Linked DNA regions of Macaca mulatta. The protein of the gene in region 7 interacts with the protein of the main gene of each other region in a biochemical or structural test. Links are inferred from orthologs where the notes say so. Each region holds a gene or a part of one and is shown on either strand. Other genes may lie near its edges.

The links.
Region 1: the proteins of PLCG1 (region 7) and ERBB2 form a complex in vitro, tested with the Homo sapiens proteins (2 studies listed by BioGRID and IntAct, with this or other methods). The link is inferred for Macaca mulatta from reciprocal best matches to the Homo sapiens genes PLCG1 and ERBB2.
Region 2: the proteins of PLCG1 (region 7) and KIT form a complex in vitro, tested with the Homo sapiens proteins (3 studies listed by BioGRID and IntAct, with this or other methods). The link is inferred for Macaca mulatta from reciprocal best matches to the Homo sapiens genes PLCG1 and KIT.
Region 3: the proteins of PLCG1 (region 7) and SOS1 form a complex in vitro, tested with the Homo sapiens proteins (2 studies listed by BioGRID and IntAct, with this or other methods). The link is inferred for Macaca mulatta from reciprocal best matches to the Homo sapiens genes PLCG1 and SOS1.
Region 4: the proteins of PLCG1 (region 7) and SH3BP2 form a complex in vitro, tested with the Homo sapiens proteins (2 studies listed by BioGRID, with this or other methods). The link is inferred for Macaca mulatta from reciprocal best matches to the Homo sapiens genes PLCG1 and SH3BP2.
Region 5: the proteins of PLCG1 (region 7) and LCP2 form a complex in vitro, tested with the Homo sapiens proteins (2 studies listed by BioGRID). The link is inferred for Macaca mulatta from reciprocal best matches to the Homo sapiens genes PLCG1 and LCP2.
Region 6: the proteins of PLCG1 (region 7) and ITK form a complex in vitro, tested with the Homo sapiens proteins (2 studies listed by BioGRID, with this or other methods). The link is inferred for Macaca mulatta from reciprocal best matches to the Homo sapiens genes PLCG1 and ITK.

What each region holds. Positions count from the first base shown.
Region 1 is NC_133421.1:64,080,579-64,083,666, reverse strand, and holds the end of ERBB2 (receptor tyrosine-protein kinase erbB-2), read right to left. Parts: intron 2,588-3,088; coding exon of another isoform or gene 2,520-2,587; coding exon 2,422-2,519; exon of another isoform or gene 2,392-2,421; intron 2,282-2,391; exon of another isoform or gene 2,250-2,281; coding exon 2,061-2,249; intron 1,775-2,060; coding exon 1,522-1,774; intron 1,381-1,521; coding exon 1,025-1,380; 3' UTR 501-1,024; downstream 1-500. UniProt on the Homo sapiens protein: Protein tyrosine kinase that is part of several cell surface receptor complexes, but that apparently needs a coreceptor for ligand binding. Essential component of a neuregulin-receptor complex, although neuregulins do not interact with it alone.
Region 2 is NC_133410.1:78,765,787-78,769,286, forward strand, and holds part of KIT (mast/stem cell growth factor receptor Kit), read right to left. Parts: intron 1,962-3,500; coding exon 1,768-1,961; intron 559-1,767; coding exon 452-558; intron 361-451; coding exon 234-360; intron 1-233. UniProt on the Homo sapiens protein: Tyrosine-protein kinase that acts as a cell-surface receptor for the cytokine KITLG/SCF and plays an essential role in the regulation of cell survival and proliferation, hematopoiesis, stem cell maintenance, gametogenesis, mast cell development, migration and function, and in melanogenesis.
Region 3 is NC_133418.1:85,931,113-85,934,612, forward strand, and holds part of SOS1 (son of sevenless homolog 1), read left to right. Parts: intron 1-249; coding exon 250-331; intron 332-1,102; coding exon 1,103-1,225; intron 1,226-1,528; coding exon 1,529-1,632; intron 1,633-2,751; coding exon 2,752-2,974; intron 2,975-3,500.
Region 4 is NC_133410.1:2,986,059-2,988,485, reverse strand, and holds part of SH3BP2 (SH3 domain-binding protein 2), read right to left. Parts: intron 2,375-2,427; coding exon 2,266-2,374; intron 2,022-2,265; coding exon 1,966-2,021; intron 1,634-1,965; coding exon 1,552-1,633; intron 956-1,551; coding exon 896-955; intron 1-895. UniProt on the Homo sapiens protein: Binds differentially to the SH3 domains of certain proteins of signal transduction pathways. Binds to phosphatidylinositols; linking the hemopoietic tyrosine kinase fes to the cytoplasmic membrane in a phosphorylation dependent mechanism.
Region 5 is NC_133411.1:179,163,762-179,167,805, forward strand, and holds the start of LCP2 (lymphocyte cytosolic protein 2), read right to left. Parts: upstream 2,801-4,044; 5' UTR 2,594-2,800; coding exon 2,516-2,593; intron 1-2,515. UniProt on the Homo sapiens protein: Adapter protein primarily involved in signaling pathways within T-cells, as well as other immune cells such as platelets, mast cells, and natural killer (NK) cells.
Region 6 is NC_133411.1:166,050,683-166,054,812, forward strand, and holds the start of ITK (tyrosine-protein kinase ITK/TSK), read left to right. Parts: upstream 1-1,330; 5' UTR 1,331-1,421; coding exon 1,422-1,559; intron 1,560-4,130. UniProt on the Homo sapiens protein: Tyrosine kinase that plays an essential role in regulation of the adaptive immune response. Regulates the development, function and differentiation of conventional T-cells and nonconventional NKT-cells.
Region 7 is NC_133415.1:94,021,840-94,025,339, reverse strand, and holds part of PLCG1 (1-phosphatidylinositol 4,5-bisphosphate phosphodiesterase gamma-1), read right to left. Parts: intron 1,138-3,500; coding exon 985-1,137; intron 874-984; coding exon 780-873; intron 637-779; coding exon 589-636; intron 1-588. UniProt on the Homo sapiens protein: Mediates the production of the second messenger molecules diacylglycerol (DAG) and inositol 1,4,5-trisphosphate (IP3). Plays an important role in the regulation of intracellular signaling cascades.

The DNA.
Region 1 (3,088 bases), on a different chromosome or scaffold from region 7:
TGTACCGCCAGGGTGGCTGTGCTGGCTTGGGTGGGCTTTCTGGACAGCTACTCCTTAGGTCAGTGAGCTCCTCTGGCATAGCCAAGGCAAGGAAAATGAGTCCCACAGTAGACCCTGCCTCGTCTTTCGCCCACTCAACCGCCACTCTCCTGACTCACAAGGAGGAAATAACCCCATTCTGGTGAGTGGCCTTAGGAATTCGTTCTAAGAAAGAATGATCTGGTTGTTAAAGGGCTCTCAGATCCGAATCCAGCTTCCCGATCCCCCCCAACCCTGAAGCTAGAGAACTGGATGTCAGGCTCCTCATCCAAGCTTTCTGAAGATTCCTGGTCACTCCCTCCAGGAAAAGAGGAGTTGAGTGTAAGGTGAGCAGGAAGGGATGGTGCAGAGCTACCCCCAGACATAGGCCGGTGCCTAACTGTTCTCCAAAATATATTTGCAAATGGAGAAAGTGGGTGTGGAGAAGGACCCCCCACATCTGCCTCCCCATACAACACCCATTCTCCCCCTGGGTCTTTATTTCATCTTTAAAAAACAAAACAAAGTAAAAACTAAACAGAAAAGCACTCTGTACAAGGCCTGGATACTGACACCATTGCTGCTCCTTCCTCATGGGGGGTAGTACTAGGTCTCAGGGACAATCTCTGAATGGGTCGCTCTTGTTCTTAGACACTCCCTTAGGGCCACTTCCCCTCTCAGGCCAGCTTCCCTAAGGCTTTCAGTATGCAGGATCTGGAAGGAAAGGGCCAGGCTGGGCTGTGGCATCCACTGGACCCTAGAGTCTCATTGGGCAGGGCCCCAGAATCCACCAAGACTCCCCAGTGCTGTTCCTCTTCCAACTAGGCTGGACCCCTTCCAGCCATCTGGGAACTCAAGCAGGAAGTTTCCTTAGGACAGGTTCCGGGCATGGCAGATTCCTCTGGAAGTGGTCGGAGGGCCCGCCCGCCTCTTGATGCCAGTGGAAGTCAGGCCTTCCCTGCTCCCTGAGGACACATCGGGGCTTCTGCGGACTTGGCCTTCTGGTTCACACTGGCATGTCCAGACCCAGGTACTCTGGGTTCTCTGCCGTAGGTGTCCCTTTGAAGGTGCTAGGTGGAGCCCCCCGCTCTGATGGGTCCTGGTCCCAGTAATAGAGGTTGTCGAAGGCTGGGCTGAAGGCAGGAGGAAGGTGGGGCTGAGGGGCAGCTCCTCCCCGGGGTGCCAAGTACTCGGGGTTCTCCACAGCACCCCCAAAGGCAAAAACGTCTTTGACAACCCCATTCTTCCCTGGGGAGAGAGTCTTGGGCCTTTCCAGAGTGGCACCAGTAGGTCGGGCAGGAGACAGAGGGCCCTCTTGGGGCGAAGGGGGCTGTGGCCGAACATCTGGCTGGTTCACATATTCTGAAAGGCCAAGAGAAGATGACCTATTAGGGGAAGGAACCCCGGTGTCGCTGCCACTCCCTCTGCCCCCACAGTGGACCCTGGGCTGAGGGTCCCCCCTACCCCGCCCATCAGTCTCTCCGCTTAGACTGGACTCCATACCGGGCTGGGGACTGCAGGTCAGGGGGGCAACGTAGCCGTCAGTCTCAGAGGGCAGGGGTACCGTGGGGTCCTCACTGTACCGCTGTAGAGGGCTGGGGTCATGTGCGGGGAGGCTTTGCAGCCCCTTGGCTGCCCCCATTCCTAGGTCACCATCAAATACATCAGAGCCAGTCCCTTCGGAGGGTGCCCGTGGAGACCTGGGGGCCTCCTCTTCAGAGGGCTCCAGCCCTAGCGTCAGGTCCCCACCGCCACTCTGGGGACAAGAAAGTAAGTCATGATGGGAGTCACTTAATGGATCTGGGATGGGGACTCCATGGGAAGTGACAGGGTCACAGGAGAAAAACAGGTCACCTTTGGGGTACGACACAATCACCGTGGAGAGAATGGGGTCACAGAGGTTGGAAGGCAGTAAGAATTTTTTGTAGGGATAATGGGGTCTCCTTGAGAGGTGACAGTTGAGGGAACATCAGAGAAAGGGACCCTAGTCCACCAGGGATGGAGGAGGTAAGCAGCCACACAGTGTGACCGAAGGCACTGACCCTGGTAGATGAGCTGCGGTGCCTGTGGTGGACCATGCCCCCAGTGCCCGGGGCAGGGTCTGGACAGAAGAAGCCCTGCTGGGGTACCAGATACTCCTCAGCATCCACCAGGTCCCCCATGTCATCGTCCTCCAGCAGTGAGCGGTAGAAGGTGCTGTCCAAGGGACTGGCTGGGCCCAAGTCCTCATTCTGCGGAGGAAGGAGAGGTGGGATGGTGGCCCCTCCCCAGCTCAGCATGCAGCCTTCCATGAAGGCTCATAGCAGGTGAGGGGCCTGACACACCGGACTCATCTCTCCTTCCCACCCTCTGCAGGAGGGTGCTCTTAGCCACAGGCAGGGATGGGGCACAGAGGCCCAGTACCTGGATGACCACAAAGCGCTGGGGGTCCCTGGCCATGCGGGAGAATTCCGACACCAACTCCCGGAATCTCGGCCGACATTCAGAGTCAATCATCCAACCTGGGGCAGGAGGGAGGCCAGCATCTAGCCCCGGCCCTGTGTGCCTGCTGCCTCCCCTCCCACTCCCGCTGCAGTCTGGTCTAGACAGTCCCAAGGGACAGCCCAAAGCCCTTGGTGGTAGAGAAGTAGTACCAGACTCTGGGGGCTTCAGCCAGAACCTTCGGGCATCTCTACTAGTTTCCCTTTTAATTTTTTTTTCTTTTTGTTTGCTTTTTTGTTTTTTTGAGATGAGGTTTCACTCTGTCGCCCAGGCTGGATTTCAGTGGTGCAATCATAGCTTACTGCCACCTTCAGCTGGGCTCAAGTGATCTTCCTGCCTCAGCCTCTCCCGAGTAGCTGGGACTACAGGCACACACCACCACACCCAGCGAATTTTTTTATTTTTTGTAGAGATAGGGTCTCACTGTGTTGCCCAGTCTGGTCTTGAACTCCTGGCTTCAAGGGATCTTCCCACCTCAGCCTCCCAAAGTACTGGGATTACAGGCATGAGCCACTGTGCCCAGCTTAATATTGTACATAAGGTTCTCTAGTTGTTCCTCAAGAGTGGCTTTGGACTTTGACTGTAAAAG
Region 2 (3,500 bases), on a different chromosome or scaffold from region 7:
GAATTGAAGGATCATTTATGTAGTTTCAAAATCAATAAAGGAATTAAAAACAATTTTGTCTAGAGACATTTTCCTACAATGTTCTCTATGCCAAACCTATCAAAAGGGGTGCAATTTCACAGAAAACTCATTGTTTCAGGTGGAACAAAACAAAGGAAGCTACTGGAGTTCCTTAAAGTCATTGTTATGTGTACCCAAAAAGGTGACATGGAAAGCCCCTGTTTCATACTGACCAAAACTCAGCCTGTTTCTGGGAAACTCCCATTTGTGATCATAAGGAAGTTGTGTTGGGTCTATGTAAACGTAATTGTTTCCATTTATCTCCTCAACAACCTTCCACTGTACTTCATACATGGGTTTCTGTGGGGAGAAAGGGGAAAATGGATCACCTTTTAAGAATTATTGTCGGAGTCATTAGAGCACTCTGGAGAGAGAACAAATAAATGGTTACCTGTAAATATTTGTAGGTGAGAATCATCACAATAATGCACATCATGCCAGCTACGATTACAAAACCAATCAGCAAAGGAGTGAACAGGGTGTGGGGATGGATTTGCTCTAAAATCAAACAGAAATGTGGAATCACAAACTTTGGCAGGATGGGATCTCTACCACAGCCACTCATTCCCAAACTGACCTCCCAACTCACAGCCCATGGCAGGAAGCAAAGCTATGTGACTCTCAGAGCTTCACCTTGGTTACATCGTACTCTTGTTATTCAAATGAATCTTTAAAAATATAACTTGAAACCAGAATACTGCAGAATAGAAGTTGAGATTTCTGTAGAAAAGGAATAATTTATGCTGTTTTTCAATGAAAAGCAACATCTGAATGCACTTTGTACTTCAATCAAATCCCTGCCTTGTACAACTTTTAAAAAGAAGCTTCCTTTATGGATGGTTTATATTTTCTTCTTTACACTTTCCTGTATTTTCTAAATTTTCTACACTGAGCATGAATGTCTTTCACAACAAAAAAAAAACACCATTTTTAAGGTATGCTTTTCGTTGCCCCGTCTGAAAAATCGATGATGTAGAACAATGGAAGATTCTTCCCCTCATTACTCAAAACCTGAGAAAATACGCCACTTTTTGGCACTAGTCTTTGCTGACTCAAAAAAACAAACAAACAAACAAACAAAACAAACAAAAAAAACACAAAAAACAAACAAAACCCAAGAAGGCCTAAAAAGTAAGTGCCCACTTTCTTTGTCTTCCCACTTTGTACCAATTCAGCAATTTGCCCACAAGGAACTTTTAACTTATGTTAAGAGAGTTAGTCACACATGAATCAAATTTTAAATATTTTAAAGAAATAACTTGCTAACATGACTTCATAAAGGCAGTGTTAACTTTTGGATACAGTGTCTGGCAAAGTGTTAAAATAATTCACTTTAAATAATTGAAATTTTTAATTGAATTTAAATGTTAGATTGTTCTAATTCTGTTTGGGTGTAAGGTAAATATATTCCCCCCCATTTGCTTTCTCTACCCCTTTTTAATGGAGACAATTGTAAATATACAACTAATATAAAAGAGGCGCACATACATATAAAATATATAAAGTAGCATGGTTAAAAGTGCTCTGGTAAAAACATATACTTAACAAGCTAGTACAAAATGAAACATAGCGAGTTTGATGACAGTATGGTGTGATGTACGTATTACCAGAAATGACATGGTCAATGTTGGAATGAACTTAAAATCATGATTGATATGGTAGACAGAGCCTAAACATCCCCTTAAATTGGATTAAAAAGAAATATACCTTTGTTGTTACCTTTAAATGCAAAGTTAAAATAGGCAGAAGTCTTGCCCACATCGTTGTAAGCCTTACATTCAACCGTGCCATTGTGCTTGAATGCACTAGAATCTATGGAACTCTGAACCACTAGTTTTCCAAACGGTGGCCCAGATGCGTTTAGTGTCTGCACATCCACTGGCAGTACAGAAGCAGAGCATCTAAAGGGAAGAAAACAAAAGCCCAGGTTTACTCTAGGAAAATAAATAAATACATAAGACCCTTGGGACGTGGCACACTTTTAAAACAAAGTTAGAGGTTCATAATCAACAGAAAATGTCCTTTTACAAGTGTCTAAGAATAAGCACTTTGGTGACCTAGTGAGTGAAAAAAGCACTGGGGAAGAGAAGAAAGGGCAGAGGAGGCTTTGGAGTCAGATGTGGGTTTGAATCCTGATGAGTTAAAGACTGAGTTTCTACCACTGTAAAACGGGGATGGTAATACCCATTGCAGAGGGTTACTGAAAGGACTGGAAAGGAATTCAATAAAATGGCAGGCATATATGCTGGTACACAGCAGATCCCTAAAATAAACAAGCTTCAAAAGGGTACATGAATGGTTGAAAATAAATAGCATAGAGGAGGAAATCATAAAAAATCTTCAAGGGACTGAGCGCAGTAGCTCACACCTATAATCTCAGCACTTTAGAAGGCCGAGGCGGGCAGATCACCTGAAGTCAGGAGTTCGAGACCAGACTGGCCAACACAGTGAAACTCTATCTCTACTAAAAATACAGAAATTAGTTGGGCGTGGTGGCAGGCACCTGTAATCCCAGCTACTCAGAGGCTGAGGCAGGAGAATCACTTGAACCCAGGAGGCAGAGGTTGCAGTGAGCCAAGATCACTCCACTGTACTCCAGCCTGGGCAACAGAGTGAGACTCCGTCTCAACAACAACAAAAAAATCAAGAATGTAGACCAGGAAATAGTCAGAGTGATGACCGAAGTGTGAGTTCTAAGCAGGAAGGCCTAGTTGTACTGCAAGTGGCTGAGACCACCACTGCAAGGGATCTTTTCATGAGCCAGACCCCAACTTCCCTATTCTAAACACCTAGCTATTTCCTGTTTCCCTTCTTAACACCTACATACATTCACTGTTTATTCCATCTATTATGTGTCTCTACCCACTAGAACAAGCTTGTCCCACCTGCAGCCCACATGTGGCTCACAACAGCTTTGAATGCGACCCAACACAAATTCATAAAGCTTAAAACATTATGAGTTTTGTTTGCAATTTTTGTTTTAGCTCATCAGCTATCATTAGTGTTACTGTTTTTTATGTGCGGCCTAAGACAGTCGTTTTCTTCCTATGTGGCCCAGGGAAGCCAAAAGATTGAACACCCCTGCACTAGAATATAAACTCATAAAGGCAAAAAGACTTGGGTATGTTCTGTCCATTAGAACAGTGTCTGGTACACACTCGCCACTCCCTGTGTATCTACTGAATTAATGCCTGTAACTACAGGGCTTGCTTCCGCTGTGGTCATTCCTCCCAGGGGCTCCTTAGTATTCCCCAAAAGAAAACACTCTTGGAGCAAGATGGCCGAATAGGAACAGCTCCAGTCTCCAACTCCCAGCACGAGCGACACAGAAGACCGGTGATTTCTGCATTTTCTTTTTTTTTTTTTTTTGTTGAGACAGAGTCTCGCTTTGTCGCCCAGACTGGAGTGCAGTGGCCGGATCTCAGCTCACTGCAAGCTCC
Region 3 (3,500 bases), on a different chromosome or scaffold from region 7:
TGACTTTAAGATCATCTTGTCAGTGTGCAGAGGGCAAGAAATAAGTTGATGTAAAGTTTTAATATCAATGTTTTCACCACTAATTTAGGAGGCACTAAGCTAGCAGTGCATTACCAAGCCCAGTCTGTTTGTCAAAACATTTTGGAACTTTTAAACTTGACTATTTGATCTATTTTGAAAATGTAAATAATAGTTTTAATCATTTTGAATCACATAGTTTAATAAGATATTTTTCCTTTTTCTTCTTAGATCCCAATTTTGTTCGGACATTTCTTACAACATACAGATCCTTTTGCAAACCTCAAGAACTACTGAGTCTTATAATAGAAAGGTCTGTCCATTTAAAAAATATTTAAATTCATTATTTTTTGTTAAAAAAGAGATTAAGCTAAGATCTTATGTTTTTCAGAAATGTTAGATGAGCTTTAAAATATACTTCACGAGCACTTTTTCAATAAATAAAATCTCTTAAATGAACATTTATTTTGTTAGCTTTTATTATTTCAATACAAAAATTATTTTTTGTATGTGAAAACTCGGTATTTGAAATTTCAAATTTACAGAACGATCTATATAAAATTTATAATTTAGAGTTGAGAAATTCAAATTTTGATGAGTTAGATGTTCTAAGTAAGTTTTCAAACATACTTCATGTTGAGTAAAATGGAGCTTGTCAGTGAACAAATACTGTGATGGAAGGAAAATATTTCATGTATCCAAACAAAGAGCAGTCAGTTTTTCTGGAATTACCCTTAACAGTGATTATGTCACCTGATTTAGAGTAATTCCACAGACCAAAAATGAATATCAGTCCCATAACTTTATAGTCACATTTATTTTTAGAATTTGCATGTATTCTTTATTTTGTTTGTAGTTAGTTTTATCTATATTGGCAAGTACTAATTTATTTTAAAATTTTAAAAATAATTTTATTAACCTTTAATATTATAGAAGTCTCACTTATTTACACTGACATGCATATTTTTAGTAATTTTTTACAGTATTCTCTTGATTTTGCTGACAGGTGGAAACATTTGTGGTTTTCTATTTGTATAACTCGATATAATTAGTATTTTCATTAATTTGTTCTATTTTATGTTAGGTTTGAAATTCCAGAGCCTGAGCCAACAGAAGCTGATCGCATAGCTATAGAGAATGGAGATCAACCCTTGAGTGCAGAACTGAAAAGATTTAGAAAAGAATATATACAGCCTGTGCAACTGCGGTAAGCATTAAATAAATGAAGCAAATAAGTCTTTATCAAACTTTCATTTTAGTGTTGAAGTATATAAGGACCTTTCCCAAACAAGGAGCGGGGTGACAATAAAATTAATAAATTAAATTTACTAATTATAGCAGTTATCAGAAATTATAGTGTAAGTCTTAATGTAGAATTTTGGAAGTGTTAGGCACCCTGATAAGAATAACTTGGTAAGAGTTACTGTGTTTTCATTTGTATTGTACCATGCATTGTGATAAACATTTATGTTTGATTCCCATGTAATTCAATTCTGTGTTAATGCTGTAGAGTATTAAATGTATGTCGGCACTGGGTAGAGCACCACTTCTATGATTTTGAAAGAGATGCATATCTTTTGCAACGAATGGAAGAATTTATTGGAACAGTAAGAGGTATGTTTTTTTTTTTTAGGTGCTTAGTTTTATATGTAATAAAAGTACCAACACGGTGACTATCAATTGATGTTATTGTGGTTCAGTAATACGAGATGTTTGTAATAGTACCAGCATAACCATTTGAAAAAGTTAAAAATTTTCATCAAACAACATTTAGACCTGCAAATTGCTCAACAGTCACCCTGTTGATCCAATGTATTTTCATTTACTGAATCAACTTACTGATTATTTTAAGAGTTGGTTAAGCCAAGTCTTCATACATATCCCAAAGTATGAGGGCGTTTGGGAATTACGTTGTGCCATTATAACACCACTGATGGAGGTCGAGTGGGCCACAGGTGAATAGAGAGAATCAGAGAGGAAGCAGAGTGGATTAAATTGAGAGTTTGTGTCTAACACTACCACTGATCAGATATGTGACTTTGGGCAAAATCACTTAGATTCTTTAGACTTCAGTTTTCTTATCAATAACATGAGGAGCTAGGTTTGTTGATCTCCAAGGTTTTCCTTCTAGTTTTAAAGATTATATGAGTGTATAGCTCTAAGGATGTCTTAGACAAACTTATTTTTATTTCCTTTGTATGCTCTAAATGATAATCAGAAAATAGTTAAATAATAGTACTTTAAATGTACAATACAAAACAGAGCCACATCAAAACTCACACTAAAAATGAAGGAATCAGTCCTCTGGCACTGATATTTATTGGTTTATAAAATGCAATGTGAATTAGATTAATAGTGTGTATAATCTATCCTTATAAATCTTGTGATTTACATAAGATATACCTTTTGGAGGATTATAAAATAATACATTAAACTGAAGATCAGAACAATGGGGTGGACAGTCTCTACAAATTAAGTACTTTCTAATTTTATTTGGAAAGGATCTGGAAGAACACGTGCCAGGCTACTAACAGTGGTTACCCATGTGGAGAAGAGTAGTAAGATTAGGATGGGGGCCGGGAAATGGAAAAAGGGAACTTGTATTTTTCATTTTGATCATTTGAACTTTTTATAGCAAAGATACGTTCAGGTATCATCTGTGTGATTTTAAACCATTTTAAAAATATTAAATAAAGAATATTTAAATGTTATTTAAAATATAATGTATTGCAGGTAAAGCAATGAAAAAATGGGTTGAATCCATCACTAAAATAATCCAAAGGAAAAAAATTGCAAGAGACAATGGACCAGGTCATAATATTACATTTCAGAGTTCACCTCCCACAGTTGAGTGGCATATAAGCAGACCTGGGCACATAGAGACTTTCGACCTGCTCACCTTACACCCAATAGAAATTGCTCGACAACTCACTTTACTTGAATCAGATCTATACCGGTATGTACTTTAACATTCAAGCTGAAAAATCATTTCAAAAGAGTGAATTTTTAAAATGAAATACTGATTTCTGCCTTACAGGGTTGTCCTAAGACTTAACTGAAATCGTACATGAAGTGTCTAGTAATGAGGCCAGGCAGGCACTTCCTGTTCTTTCACTCCCTTGGTCCCTCCAGCTGAATTTACACCTTCTGTCTTTCTGTGGTCACCCCTAGTTGGTAAGGCTAGGTTCAAATCCTGGCTTTACTAATTGCTGACCCTGGGCAACTTTAACCTCCTTGTGTAACTTTATCCTTCTGCCCCTTATTTTCCTCAAGAGTAAAATGGGGCTACTGATAGTACGTACTCCTGGGGCTGTTTTGAGGTTTGAAAGTCAATGTATGTACATTACCTAGCACAAAGTAAGGGCTCAATAAATGTTGGCTACTGCTTTATTGTGAACTTATAGCCATTATAGTCTTTTTTAGTTTATCATACTACATTGATATAATTATCTCAAAAATGTCCTTCTGATTTTAAATGGGGA
Region 4 (2,427 bases), on a different chromosome or scaffold from region 7:
TCTCCCTCTCACCTCCTCGCCCTCTCACCCCCTCGCCCTCTCACCCTCTCGCCCCCTCACCCTCTCGCCCCCTCACCCTCTCCCTCTCTCACCCCCTCACCCTCTCCCTCTCTCACCCCCTCACCCCCTCTCCCTCTCACCCTCACCCTCTCACCCCCTCTCCCCCTCACCCCCTTACCATCTCCCCTCTCACCCCCTCACCATCTCTCCCTCTCACCCCCTCACCCTCGCCCCCTCTCCCTCTCACCCTCTCCCTCTCACCTTCTCACCCTCTCTCCCCCTCACCCCTTCACCCCCTCTCCCCCTCACCCTCTTACTCCCTCACCATCTCCCCTCTCACCCCCTCACCCTCTCCCTCTCACCCTCACCCTCTCCCTCACCTTCTCACCCTCTCACCCCCTCACCCTCGCCCCCTCTCCCTCTCACCCTCTCCCTCTCACCTTCTCACCCTCTCACCCCCTCACCCCCTTACCATCTCCCCTCTCACCCCCTCACCATCTCCCCTCTCACCCCCTCACCCTCTCCCTCTCACCCTCTCACCCTATCCCTCACCTTCTCACCCTCTCACCCCCTCACCCTCGCCCCCTCTCCCTCTCCCTCTTACCCTCTCCCTCTCACCCTCTCCCTCTCACCCTCTCACCTTCTCACCTTCTCACCCCCTCACCCCTTCACCCCCTCTCCCCCTCACCCTTTCACCCCCTCACCATCTCCCCTCTCACTCCCTCACCCTCTCACCCTTTCTCCCTCACCCTCACCCTCTCACCCTCTCACCCTCTCCCTCTCACCTTCTCCCCTTCTCACCCTCTCACCCCCTCACCCCTTCACCCCCTCTCCCCCTCACCCTTTCACCCTCTCACCCTCTCATCCTCACCCTCTCACCCTCTCACCCTCTCACCTTCTCAAAAATGCGATAGTTCCTCACTTTGTTGGAGGCTTCATCCCATACAACCAGGACCTACAGGAGGGAAGCAGGAGGCTGACGGCTCCCTGAGAAACAGCGGAACCAGCCTCGGGAGACCGTGGGCTGGGGATAGCGGGGCAGAACCATCAAGGCTGGGTCCTGTGGCCCTGGGGGGGTGGGGAGGGGCTCCAGACCACCTGCATAGATAGGGACAGCGGGGACGACACTGGCAGCCCTCAGAGAGCCTCTGATGAGCAGCAGCTCATAACCACCAAAAACCACCCCGACACACCCGGGAGAGCATGGCTCAGGGAGGCCACAGCTTCACGCTCGGAGGGACACGGGCAGACCGGGCGTTCCCACTGCCCCATGTGGCCTCCCCCACCCCGGAGCATGAGCCCTACCCCGCCCGAGTCCTGGCCCCCACTGGGAGGTGGCCATCATCGCCCCCAATTTGCAGATGGAGATCTATTAGGGAATAGATTAGGGGGTGCTGCTGGGCAGAGAATTTAGCTGAGACACCAAGTAAGAGTCCACAAGGGGAGTGGTCTAGGAACTGCGGAGTCCTGGGCCCGCCCACAGCCTGGGTATGTGGAGAGCCAGAGAGGCCAACCGCATGGGGCCTCGGGGCATCTACCCCTGGCGCCTACCTTCCCCGACTTGGTAGAGGAGTTCCGGATGCAGTAGAGTCCATCCTGGGGCTCTCCCCGGGGGCTTGTAGCCTTGAACAGCCTAAAATAAGACAGTCATATTGGCATGTGAGCCCTTCTCGGGCAGCTTTCACAGGGACTTTCCCGCCCCGCTCCCAAGCCCGGCTTTCTGTCCTCTCGCTGTTGTATGTCTCAGGCGCTGAGTGTGTCGGGCTGCCGTGAAGCTGAGGGAAGCAGCCCAGCAGAGCCCTGGCCAGCCAGGGTGCCAGCTGGGCATGGGACACAGCAGGGGGGTCCAGTCCTCTGGCTCCTTCTGCACGCAGGGCCATATACCTGTGCCAGCAACTCCCCAACACAGAAGCTAGTGAGAGGGACACAGCGGGGGACCCAGGGCATCCAGGGCTTTGTGCTGACCTTTCCACTTCGCAGGATTCCGTGGTGTTGATGAAGACCGAGTTGGGCAGCGGCACCTGCAAGAGGCTGACGGTGTCAGTGCCAAGGTCGGAGCGATCCACCCACACCACCACTCCCCGGACCGCGGCCACCCAGTGCCAGGATCTGGGGCTTTGCATGGTGCTGTGTCCCCCCTAGGCTCCCGGGTTCTCGAGGGGTCCTTGCTCAGGATGGTCTGTGAGGGGCCACCCTGGCCTATGGCTCTCCCACCACCTGTCCCTCTGCTGGCCACTGGGACCTGGGCTTGCTGCTCAGCCTTGCCTTCTCATAGTCCTCGTCCGAGTCGTCCCCGCCAGCATCAGCCTGCGAGGGTTGCCGGGGCTTTTCAAATGAGAAGCTCCTGAAGCTCTGCCCATCGGGAGGCGATCGCCTGGAAGGCGAGGCAGGGAGACAAAGGCAGGACCATTTCACTGTCAGACACGG
Region 5 (4,044 bases), on a different chromosome or scaffold from region 7:
CTAAGGTCACACAGTGTGCTGAGATACCAGCTGGGACCCCACCTGGGATTAGGACACATAGCTCTGAGCCAGTGCCTCTCCACTGCATGACCCAAAGATGTTCTCCTGCAAGTCAAAAGGAATTGGACAGATTGAACAAATATACAACATGGTCTCAGTCCTCAGGAGCTTATATTCCAGACACAGGATGAGGTACACATGTCAGAGACAAGAAGACACAAAATCCCACCAGTCTGCATTGGTGTCCCCAGCTAGGAGCCAGTTAATAGAGAAGGAAAAAGGGCAGATGGAACATGCATTAGGACCCATCTGTCTGCTGAATGCCTTACACCCATCATTTCCTTTAATCCTCACAACCAGCCCATGGAGTTAGTTACTGTTCGTATCTCTATTTCACTGATGAGGAAGTTGAGGCACAGAGAAGCAAAGCAACTATGGGAAAGTCGCCAAGCTAGCAGGTGGCAGAGCCAGGGCAAGGTGTGTCTGACTCCAGAGCTGACTCAGGAGGTATCTCCAAGGGAGGCATCTCCAGGAGAGGTCGGACCCCACTACTTGGGTAGAGTTTGCATCTGCAGATCAATCCTTTACATGTCATGATTGATGGCTGAGATCTATTCCTAAAAAACTCTGCAGTCCATTCATTTGGTATTTTCTTTCAGGGGGCTGAGGTACTCAGAATCTGAAGGGTTTCTATCCAAGTCTGTGGAGAGACTAGGACTTCCAGGATCACAGATTCACCTCAGTCTCCTAGTTTCTCCCCTCAGTCCATTTATGCCAGAAGAAGGAACCTGCTTGGATGCCATAGATTTGTCCTGGGGTCTGAGATATCCAGGAAGAAAACTCTCCCTTCCCCCAGCTCAGGCACAGACGTCTTCCGATACCGTCCCTGACCCATGGTCCATCTCCCTGTACTGACGGGAGTTTTAGGGATCAGTTCTCTGTTGCTCAATTGGGCTGAAAGTCAGGCCTGTCTGTGCCTCTCAGCCCATCTCAAGTCTTTCTCTTCATAATTCTCAATTCCTTTCTTTTTCCTTTACCAAGGTAACATGCCACTTTATTCCCTCTTGGCAAGTTTTACCTTGTTGCCCTATCTTGTTTGGTCTATATTTGAGAAAGATATTAGAAACAACCTTCAAAAAACCAGCTGTGCAACAATATTTGCTGAAACCTAAGTTTATTATGACCTTGCAGAAGGAAAATAACAGAAATGAAAGCACTAAATATGGCAAAAAAAAAAAAAAAAAAAAAAAAACAGGATCTGTGAGCTGCACCCCTACCATACCACACCTAGTTTAACATGTTCGCATTTTCTTCTTCAGATTGGGGTAGAACAGCTGTGACTATAAATGCCTTGGAACTGCGTAGACTCCAGGTTTGGCTATATGTCCTAGGGAACCTCGTCTACCCACTTGAATCTCAATTTCCCCAGGAAAAACAGGAAGCTGAGTTAGATGACTTCTACCATCTTAGCTTTACAATCTCATCTTTATGACAGTCTGGAATGTCAACAGAATCTGATGCCAGCCTGCAGGGATGAGGTGTTAGAAGCTTAAATGTCTCTCACAAGGCATCTTACCGCATGGTCAGGGTAGGGGGACACTAACTAAGTCATGTGGCTTGAGATCTGCCCAAGCAGATGTGTCGTCCCCTTCTGCCAGTGACCAAGCACAGGGATCCTTCAATCTTTCCTCTAAGCCCAGAAGACAGGACAGCAACATTCTGATCCCAGGACTGCCACAAGCTTCTTCCCCTCTAGGGGCCTCAGTTTTCATAGCTATAAATTGGGGCTTATATCAGTTTTCTGGCCTGCTTCACAAGACTCTCATAAAGCTCCAAGGAGACTCTGCCCCAAGCAGGAGCTTGAGGATCCCCCTCAGGGTTGTGAGCAGTGAAAGCCTAAATGCCGTGTCTGGCACCTGCTCATCTTAGTCCTCTAACCTACCGTGTCTGGCACCTGCTCATCTTAGTCCTCTAACCAGCCCTCCCACCCTGCCTATTCTTTCTCCCGCCTCCAGGACGCCATGTCGCCCCTTTCTAGTAAGGAGCGTTGATCTCATTAGCAGTTGCAACAGTTCTCTGCATCTCAGAGCATGGACTTTAAAACCAGATAGGTGTGACTTGAAACTTGCCTCTATCACATGTGGTCCCTAGGGCTTCGGACCATTTCAGTTCCCTGAGCTGACTTTACAGCTGAGTCAAGGGGATAACAATGCTGACCTCACAGGAGAGTAGGGAGCATTAAATGGGATGGTGCCTGTGAAACACTGAATTCAAACCCTAGCACATAATAGGCACATACTCTTTTGAGGGCTCCTGCTCACATCCTTCTCTCCAGAACTCATTGCCAGGAAAACTCAGCGGTCTATATGGCGCTCACTCAACCAGTAAAGTTGCCATAGGGTTCCATTGCTATCTTATACACCTCCCACATTCTGCCCCAATTCCATTGTCAAGCCTCAGTTCAGCCCACGAAGGGCACTATCATCATGACCACTCACACGAGAGCAAGGCTCACCTTCTTGAAATAGTCAGCAAGGCTGTCAGGGTCCCAGCCCAGGACCTCTGAGCGAAAGGGTACATTCCTCAGTGCCATGGCTGCTCTCCCAGGAGGAAGCTCACAAGCTGAGCATGAGCGCTGCACCCATGGGCAGAGAAGCTCAAATCCAGAGCTCGGAGGCGTTCTTGGCTCTTCCAACTCCCTGCTACCCTGTGGAACACCCTTGTTGGAGCCGATGTCTTTTCTGCCGTAGCCAGATCCCAGAAAGCAACGACTTCCTCTGCGAACAAATATGGTCTCTTCTCAGAAAACGACTCAGCTAGTTTCCTTTACCACTTCCTCTGCTGGGCTCTAAATAAGTAAACAAGGAAGCCCAGCTCTGGGGGCTTGAGATGCAGAGACAGCCCCAGGGTTGGTAATTCCCCACTGACTCCAGTCACTCCAACCCAGTAGGAGAGGCAATGAAGGGGTCTTAAACTCCGATGTGAGTTCGAGTATTTTTCCTTTAAACTCTGGGCACCCATATGTCTACACTGCATTCTTGCTCAGCGGGGGCTTTGCAGACCAAAATCTATGCTGATGGTTGACCTGAAATACGGACAATTTCCCACATCAGTGAACTGCTGGAGCGTGGTCTTTTAATGCTTTCCAACCACCTTCCCCTCCCACCATCAAAGACTGGGATTCTTTCAGCTGCCTATTTACAGTTGTCATGAGAGGGTCCTCAAGGAATGAGTGAGTCAGATACCCAGGGCTGAACAAAGTGCTGCACTGTGCAAACAGGGCTCAGTTTCTTATGTGACTGTTTCTGTGCTATGCAACCTTAGGCAAGGACTTAAAAGCTGGGAATCTCAGTTTCCAAATCTGTATAATAGGAAAACAGTGATTCTTCATATACACATAAAACTTAGATGCATTTAACTAGACAAACCTAAAAAGAAAAATTAAAAATAAACTTAACGATTGCTATTGATAGTGTCATATATTCCATTCACGATTGTTTCCACAGTATATTTTATTCACTATTGATTCTGCCATATATTCTAGCCAAAGAGCACATTCCCTGGAGATAGGAGGTGAGAATCTGCTGTTTTCTTAGTTTCAGACATTGTTTATTTCTCATAATTGAACAACTTATTGGCAGAGGGTGAGTCCAGTGTGTAAAAGCAACTATATTTGTGCAATAAGGCAACCTCTAAACATAAGTTACTACTTCATCTAATGCTACACACACACGCGCGTGCACACACACACGCACACACACAGAGTCATCTGTTCCAAGGCTGTTGCCCTTACTAAGTGATGCTATGTTGGTCCTTGAGGTGGTGCCTCCCTGAGGGTTTTCAAGCATAGCTTTGGCCATGCACAGTTTCTGTCTTATACACACACTGAGGAGCCCCACAGTCACTGTAATGCACTGGCCTCACAAGCTGGTGGGTAGCTTAAATGAAATACACATTTTACTCCAGGCCCAGCACCAACTCATCAATGTGAGCTGGTGTTAGCCTCACCTTAGAAGGTGCTGAGGGCATCAGTGAAGGTAGCCC
Region 6 (4,130 bases), on a different chromosome or scaffold from region 7:
TTCAGTTGACCAGAAGACAGTCATATAACTACACCTAGCTACTAGGGAGGCTAAAAATTGTGGTCTTTATTCTTGATGGCCAGATGCCCAGAAAACCATCAGGGATTCAGTCAGTTACTCTTGTATGAAGGAGAGAGTAGATATTTGGGAAAAGCAGCAATCCCTACCTCAAGCCCATATTCAGGGAGAAAAAAAAAAAAAAGATCTTGTTTGAGCAGCGTATTTTCACACATATATCTTAAAATCTCAGAATAGGGGAGATCATTTAAAATATACCTGTACCCTACCCTCCTGAGTGTCTTGATTATGCTGGGGCATCCAGTATATGAAATAAAATAAGGCTGTTGTCTGGTAATTTACATTTAAAAATAAACATTGGAGAATTTCACTCCTATACAGCAAGAATGATTGTTTCATTTATTATTTATCACTACCCAGTACATGCCATCTCTGCTTACACTAAAATCTCTTGATTATTAACATGGTAGAGATAAATGCCACACATTATTTTTCAACTACGTACTAACTCTAAGGCAACATGCATGACTAGCACCCACCATTTGTAAGAGGTATGGGATTCAGTCCTCCAAGGGACCCTCACAAGGAAGCTAAGGATCAGAGGAGGCACAGCTTGCTCAAAGAGAAACAGCTTAGTAAGTGACAGATCTGGTAATCCAACACAAGTTTGTTTGTTTTTAAAGCCCATATATACTTTGTTTATTATGCCATTCTGAAGGATTCGCTTATTTTTCACTGTTTCACAAAATGTCAGGACAGAAAGGCAATCATCTATATGTAGCATTGAGAAATTTCTGTGGGCTTTAATTTAAATCTTAAAAACTAATAAACTTCAGCAACATATTTCTTCATTTTAATGTGTGAGGGGTTTGTGCTCATTACCTCTTTTAATTGTCAAACCCAATTTGGCGAAGATCCATTCAACAAATTTTTCTTAAACATGTTTTTTATGTGTCAGGCACTGTGATGGTTGCCGAGTATATCATGGTAAGCAAAACCACGCATTGTCCTTACCCCTTGTGCTACACGTTTTAACTGCTGGATGGATTGGATGGATTAAACCAGGAACTATAAAGACTAAACTGTAATCCTTACCATAATTTTGAGTCTACAGTTTTTCAAATATCATTTTGAGCCATATAGCAAAGGCTGTATGTATTTTTTACATATGCTTCCTCGTTTTGTGAATTTTGAAAGGATGTGGTTATGGCCTTTGACATCAGAGGAGACGCTCAGCTATGTTGGCTGAATGTTGATAGAAAGATAACGTTGAAGGCAAGTTGCCCTTGAGCAACTCTCTGAAGATCAACTGCCTCCACATTGCATTCTTTGCCCCAAAACTCTTCCCTTTGGTTGTGCTGAGAGGTGATGCCCAAGGTGCATCACGTTTCAAGAACTGGATCATGAACAACTTTATCCTCCTGGAAGAACAGCTCATCAAGAAATCCCAACAAAAGAGAAGAACTTCTCCCTCGAACTTTAAAGTCCGCTTCTTTGTGTTAACCAAAGCCAGCCTGGCATACTTTGAGGATCGTCATGGGGTATGTGAGCAGTTTCATTTGTCTTTTTTCGCATAGTATTTTATGTTTGGACTGGGCTAATGCAAAAGTATATACATAGCATACAATAGAATACAGGAAACACAAACATGCTTGTTGTAACAACATAAAAAGTACAGTAAAAGTAACCAGAGGAGAATGCAGAGAGCAGTCAAGAGGTGAAATGGTGGTGCGAGGCAATTTCAGTTCTAAAAACTGGAAATTTAATATTCATCAGCTTTTTCCCCGTGCAAGATTATGTTTGATTTTTAAATTATTAATAACATTTTAGGAAGCAAGTATTATGATTCATTAAAACTTGAACTTTCTATGAAACATACCAAATTTAATGAAACATACTAAACTTAATGAAACATACTAAATTTAATGAAACTTAGATTAATACAACATTAGCATTCGATGGGATGATCTACCCCAGCTTGCTTATTTTTAGTGGAAGAAACTGGTGTTTAGAATGGTTAAATTTGGGGTTCCGTGTTAACGTTTTCATGAATAACTCTGTCTGTCGCAATACTCGTCACTTGCCCAATCTTGAAATAAGATTCCCCAGGCATTTAATTGTCTAAAAGTTGTAAGGCACAATGGCAAGCCTCTTCATCTCTTGGTAGACTTCCTAGGACACCAGGTTTATTAAGAACAAAGTTTCTGCAGTGCAGACCAGCAGTTCTTACCCAGAAGAGTATGGCTGCTTAGCTAGGTCAGTCTGTCTCTGTATCTCAAAATAGTCTCATGCTTCTTTAAGATCAGTAATAACAAAAGCAACAGGAATAATCCTAATAATGTAGTTTGGCAGAAAAAGCATTGGACAAAGGGTCAGGAGACCAAACTACTTCTCAGTAGGTGATCCAATCTGGACAAATGTCTACCCCCTATTTCAGGTTCTTTCTTTATCAAAGGAAAAAACTGGAAATAACAACCTTCAAGATCCCTTTCTTCTTTAAAACTTCTTTGCTTTATGCAGTGGCTCTTGTTTAGCCCTATGCTGCAATTTTTCAAAGCGTGTTTGATTCCTTACTGTATGGTTATATTATTTTTACATCATTAGTGGGGTAGGACAAAGATTATCACTTATATTTTACTGAAGGGAAAATAATATTAGGTGCCTGATGGTCACTTAGAAACAAAAGTGCTCTGATTCTTTGTTGGAGTCTGACTTAGTAGCTGGAGGCATGAGTTTGGGATTCTTTGGCGTGCCAGGCTTTAAAGCATTTCATGAGGTGGAGCTCCAAAGGAGGTCAGGCTGGGTATAGAGTCTATGGATGCCTCACTTTTTAAAGTTGCAGGTGTTGCATGTCTTTGATGAATTACAAAAAAAAAAAAAGTTACAGGCAAAATAGTGCTGCCTCTTTAAAAGTGAAAAGAATTGCTTGTCTTGTTATCAGACTCTTACTGATAACAATTTACCAGTCAATCAGAAAACACATGGAATTATGTGCGAGGCCTCTGCCAGGTGGCCAGGAGCCCAGTTTGTGAACTTGGGGGATTTATCATGTAGAGCTAATAAATCGCATGGCATTACTCAATGCTTTTTTGTGAATGGAACATTTAAAGTTTTTGTTTCATATTGAAAGAACAGTCATGTACCTTTAAATATTTTTTTCAAAGCCCATTTTACAGTTTTCACCAGTTTGTTTTCCTGATTCAACATAGTATCATCTTATTTAGTTAGTACTAATAATTCTTTAGCCCAATTGTTATTTATGAACTGTTTGTGAATTCAGCTCAATATTATTTGCAAATAATCACAGAACCAGATGGCCTCAATTCAGAATTTTATTGGTCATAATTTGCAAGTAGACAAGGTTGTAAAATCACCCTACTTCTTTATCTGAGCATTATGAAAAATTCCAAGACAATTACTTCATTCTGGGGAGCCCTAGGCTGTAGTTTCTGATACTTCCATGTAAGATACAGAGAATACATGTCCAAACATCAAATTTCTTGTTTTCTAATGCCTTTTTTGCACTTATAAATAACATTTTTAAAGTATTTCTTTAATTATTTAATTATTATAGAGATTGATTAATTAGAAATTTATCCAAGGTCCCTGAAACAGGTAATATATGTGAGTTATTATCGTCCATGTCTTATGTATACTACATCGTTTAGGGCCACCAATTTGTACACAAGAGTGCATTAATATTACTCATAAGTAAATAACATTACACCTGTGGGAAGAACATTTTCATTTTTAAATTAAAGCCTTCACTTTCAATCTGTAAAATGGATGTGATACTAGTACCCATTTCATAGGAAGAAGGCAAAGACTCAGAGGTATAATGTCTTTAGGCTGAACTTTTTAAAATTATTTGGCAGGTCGAATATCAGGTATTAGAAGTCTCAAACAATTCAACTTAATGTTAGGTACTTAGCATAGGCCCTGCCATCTGGTAAGCATCTACTAAAAGTTAACCATTGTTTGTAGCCCTTTCACATCTCTACAGAAGCTAGCAGGGTGTCATAACAATTCATTTTCAAATTATGGGAGATATTCAAGGATTCTCCAAAATCAAGCTAAGATCAGGGTCCTGGATTCCTTCTATTCTGTGGCAA
Region 7 (3,500 bases):
TCCAGCCACTTCCTACCATTACCATCATGATCCAAGCATTCTCATTTTTCACCTGGAGTGTGGAAACAGCTAACTGAGCTCTCCACACAGCAGTCAGAGTGATCCTGAGTAACCCATCAGGTCACATCACTCCTCTCTTCAGAACCCTTCCATGGCTTCCCATTTCTTTTAGGTCAAAGGATCTCACCACGGTGCAGCACCCACACCATCTGGTCTTTGCTCCCCCTTCTCTCCTTGGCCCCTCTGGCTGCCACACCAGGCCTCAGAGCCATAAGCCTCAGGGCACCCTTCACACACTACTGGCCACCCTCACCTCCAGGACACCCAAAGGCAGTTCTACATACCCAGTCTCTGCCCATAGCGGCAGGGCACACAGCATGTGGCTGGCTCCTCTCACTAGCTCACACCAAGGCCACCAGAGGACTTTGTGCAGAAAGCTACACGTGGCAGAACCTGCTGCCCACCGCCCTGGCCCCGCTTAAGGTCCCCTGGGTCCTCTGGCTCTCCAGGCAGCTACTTAGAGGCCTGGCTAAGGTTCTGGATGCCCATCCCCACCCTGCTGGGCTAGAGTCACAGCTCAGTACTTACCGATCCTCACGATTCCGATCCACTGAGTAAAACTGCTTCCGGAGCCACCTGGAGAAAGAAGCCTGAGGTGAGGGCCACTTCTCTATCTACGGCCAGGCCTGGGAGATGCCTGGGCACACAAAGGGACTGCTGTTTCTGTCCCCCTGGTCCCTAATGCTCCCAGCCCTAACCCCTTCAGGAGTGGTTCTTACCTCTCAATCTGCAGGGGTGTGGGTGCCTGCAATGTATCCTCCATCAGCCAAGTTAAGCCCTTGATCCACATGTTCACTTCATCCTCAGATGTGGCTGTGAGCATGGTATCATCAGCTGCACCGAGGGCACATACCTCCCACTGGGCAGGAATGAGCGGGCAATCCCCTAACTATCCCCTACCTTCTCCACCCCCTTGACTCCCACCTTGCAGGCTCAGCGTCTTCAGACGGAATTCCATTCCATAGAGAATGACAAAGCAGTGTGACTGGTCCGGCCGGAAAGCGGGGTCCTCTTGATAGCGATCAAAGTCTCGTGAGGTCTTCCCTGGGCGAATCTCCTTGATTTCTCGAATATCAACTAGGAAGGTAGCAAAGAGGCCAAGATCAAGCTGGGCTCTCCCAGAGTCAATACTGAAAGGAGGGCAGCCTAGTTTCCTCATTCTTTTTTTTTTTTTTTTTTTTTCCTGAGATGGAGTCTCGCTCTGTCGCCCAGGCTGGAGTGCAGTGGCTGGATCTCAGCTCACTGCAAGCTCCGCCTCCCGGGTTTATGCCCTTCTCCTGCCTCAGCCTCCTGAGTAGCTGGGACTGCAGACGCCCGCCACGTCGCCCAGCTAGTTTTTTGTACTTTTTAGTAGAGACGGGGTTTCACCGTGTTAGCCAGGATGGTCTCAATCTCCTGACCTCGTGATCTGCCTATCTCGGCCTCCCAAAGTGCTGGGATTACAGGCTTGAGCCACCGCACCCGGCCGGTTTCCTCATTCTTACACTGTCTTTCAGGGAAGAACCCCAGAGGCAGAGCCAAGACCACTCAGTCACTCTGGGTAATAAGAGGGCTGGGTTGAGTCTAGGGATAGGCCTTTGCTAAGTAAGGGCTGAGACGTCAGAGAGGGCCATATGGGGCAAAGGCGGTTCTGTGGGGTGTCCCTTTCCTATCTTTGTTCCCTCACTGAGACATTTTGACCTGCGAAACAGCTGGACTCCAGAAGGAGAAATAGGGACCCAAGGCTGTTCATGAGGACCACTTCCTGAGACGAGGTACACACCAATCAAATCATAAAGTCCCAGAGGCAGGGCTGGGTAGGTCAAGATGGGCCTCAGGATCCCTGGGAATTAGGCTCAGGCCCAGAGGACTGGTGCATCCCTGAAATGCCTAATTGCTTAAGACATCCCCACACCAGTCTCAGCAAAGGGCCTAATCCCCACTCCATCCCATGACCAAGGCATCGGCTGTCCAAGAGCAACAGTCATCCTGGACCCAGACCACCGTTTTGCCTGGGACCATTTCCTTATCATAGCTATCCAAGGCCCTTGCATGCTCCCTTGGCCTTCACAGGGCATAATCAGAGAGGTACAGGGGCTTGAATAGCAGATGACCTGCCTCAGCCACTGAAACTTGAGACAATGACGAGTTCACTCATCTAACTTCTCAGTCTCAGTTTTACCATCTGTAAAGCAAAGGGTTTGACTGAGTTTCTCTAGAAGGCAGGGTGGTAGAAAAAACATGCACAAGCTCTGGGCGAGACTGGCTGAACTAAAATCCTAGCTCCACCTCACATCTATGTGATCTCAATAAAGTGACAGCCGCTCTGACCTCACTGCTACACTTGTGAAGTGAGTAACATAAAAGAGTAGCATACAATAGCATCAGAAAGATGTTGGTAAGATCAAAAGTTGTAACAGCTAGAAACACTCAGCACTGTATGTGGGGCATGGAGGGAGCCCGTCCAATGGACTCCTCTGCTCCCTCAGCAAAGGTGCACAGGCTCTGATACACTCTCCAGCACAGGGAGGGGCTGCCCGCTGGCCGGAGGGCAGACATTTCAGCCCAGAAGTCACCAATTTAAGGTAGATTAGGTCAAAGGAAAAAAGCTTGGCTTAGCCAACAGCGATGACTTTCTTTGAGTATTCCCTAAGCTCTGAAGCCTCTTGAAATGCTCTAAACCCAGACTGGCCTGGTAACTTTGGAGCCAGATGCAGTGCCAGCATTTGCCTGGCCAGCCCCCACCCCAGGAGCCCTTCCAGCCCAAACTGCACACCAACCTAGCTGGAATGTCCTAACAGCCCAACTCCCCCAGATGCTCTCTTCTTGTCCTGTCCCTCTAGCAACTGCCACAGAACTCCACATCTATCCCACCGGGAACAGTGGGCATTGCTCCTGGCCCTAACCCTAGATCCCTGACACACTCCTGGTTCTACCTGGAACCACCTAACCCCTCAGCAAACCCCTCCAGCCTGTCCTCCAGCTGAGAATCCTGCCTTTCCTGCTGTTTTCCCTGCCCCCGGTTCTCACCAATCAGCCATCCTTCCCCAGTCTTCTGGCTCTTCATAAAACATTATTCTGACCCCCTTAGACCTCATTTAAGCCCCTCCCGAGGCTGCCCATTGCCAGTCTAAGGAAAACAAACATCTTCTATGGCCTTGAGGGCTCTTTGTGACAGGGCTCAGGAATTTACCTCCCCAGCTTTTGCCCTCTCACCCTCTCTGCTCCATCCCCACTAAGCCATACCTAGGGCAAGAATAGCTATTGCTTCCTATCCCTATTTCATCTTGATTCCTAGTCTGGAAATGTCCACCTCCCAGGCTCCCTTCTCTTTCACCAAGGGCCCAACTGAGAAGTTCCTTCCTGTGGTACTCATACACTTGATGCCTCTTGTATACAAACATGTACATACATTGCTCATACACCTAAGGCCAGGCAGGACCCCTCCAGGGCTTGCTTAA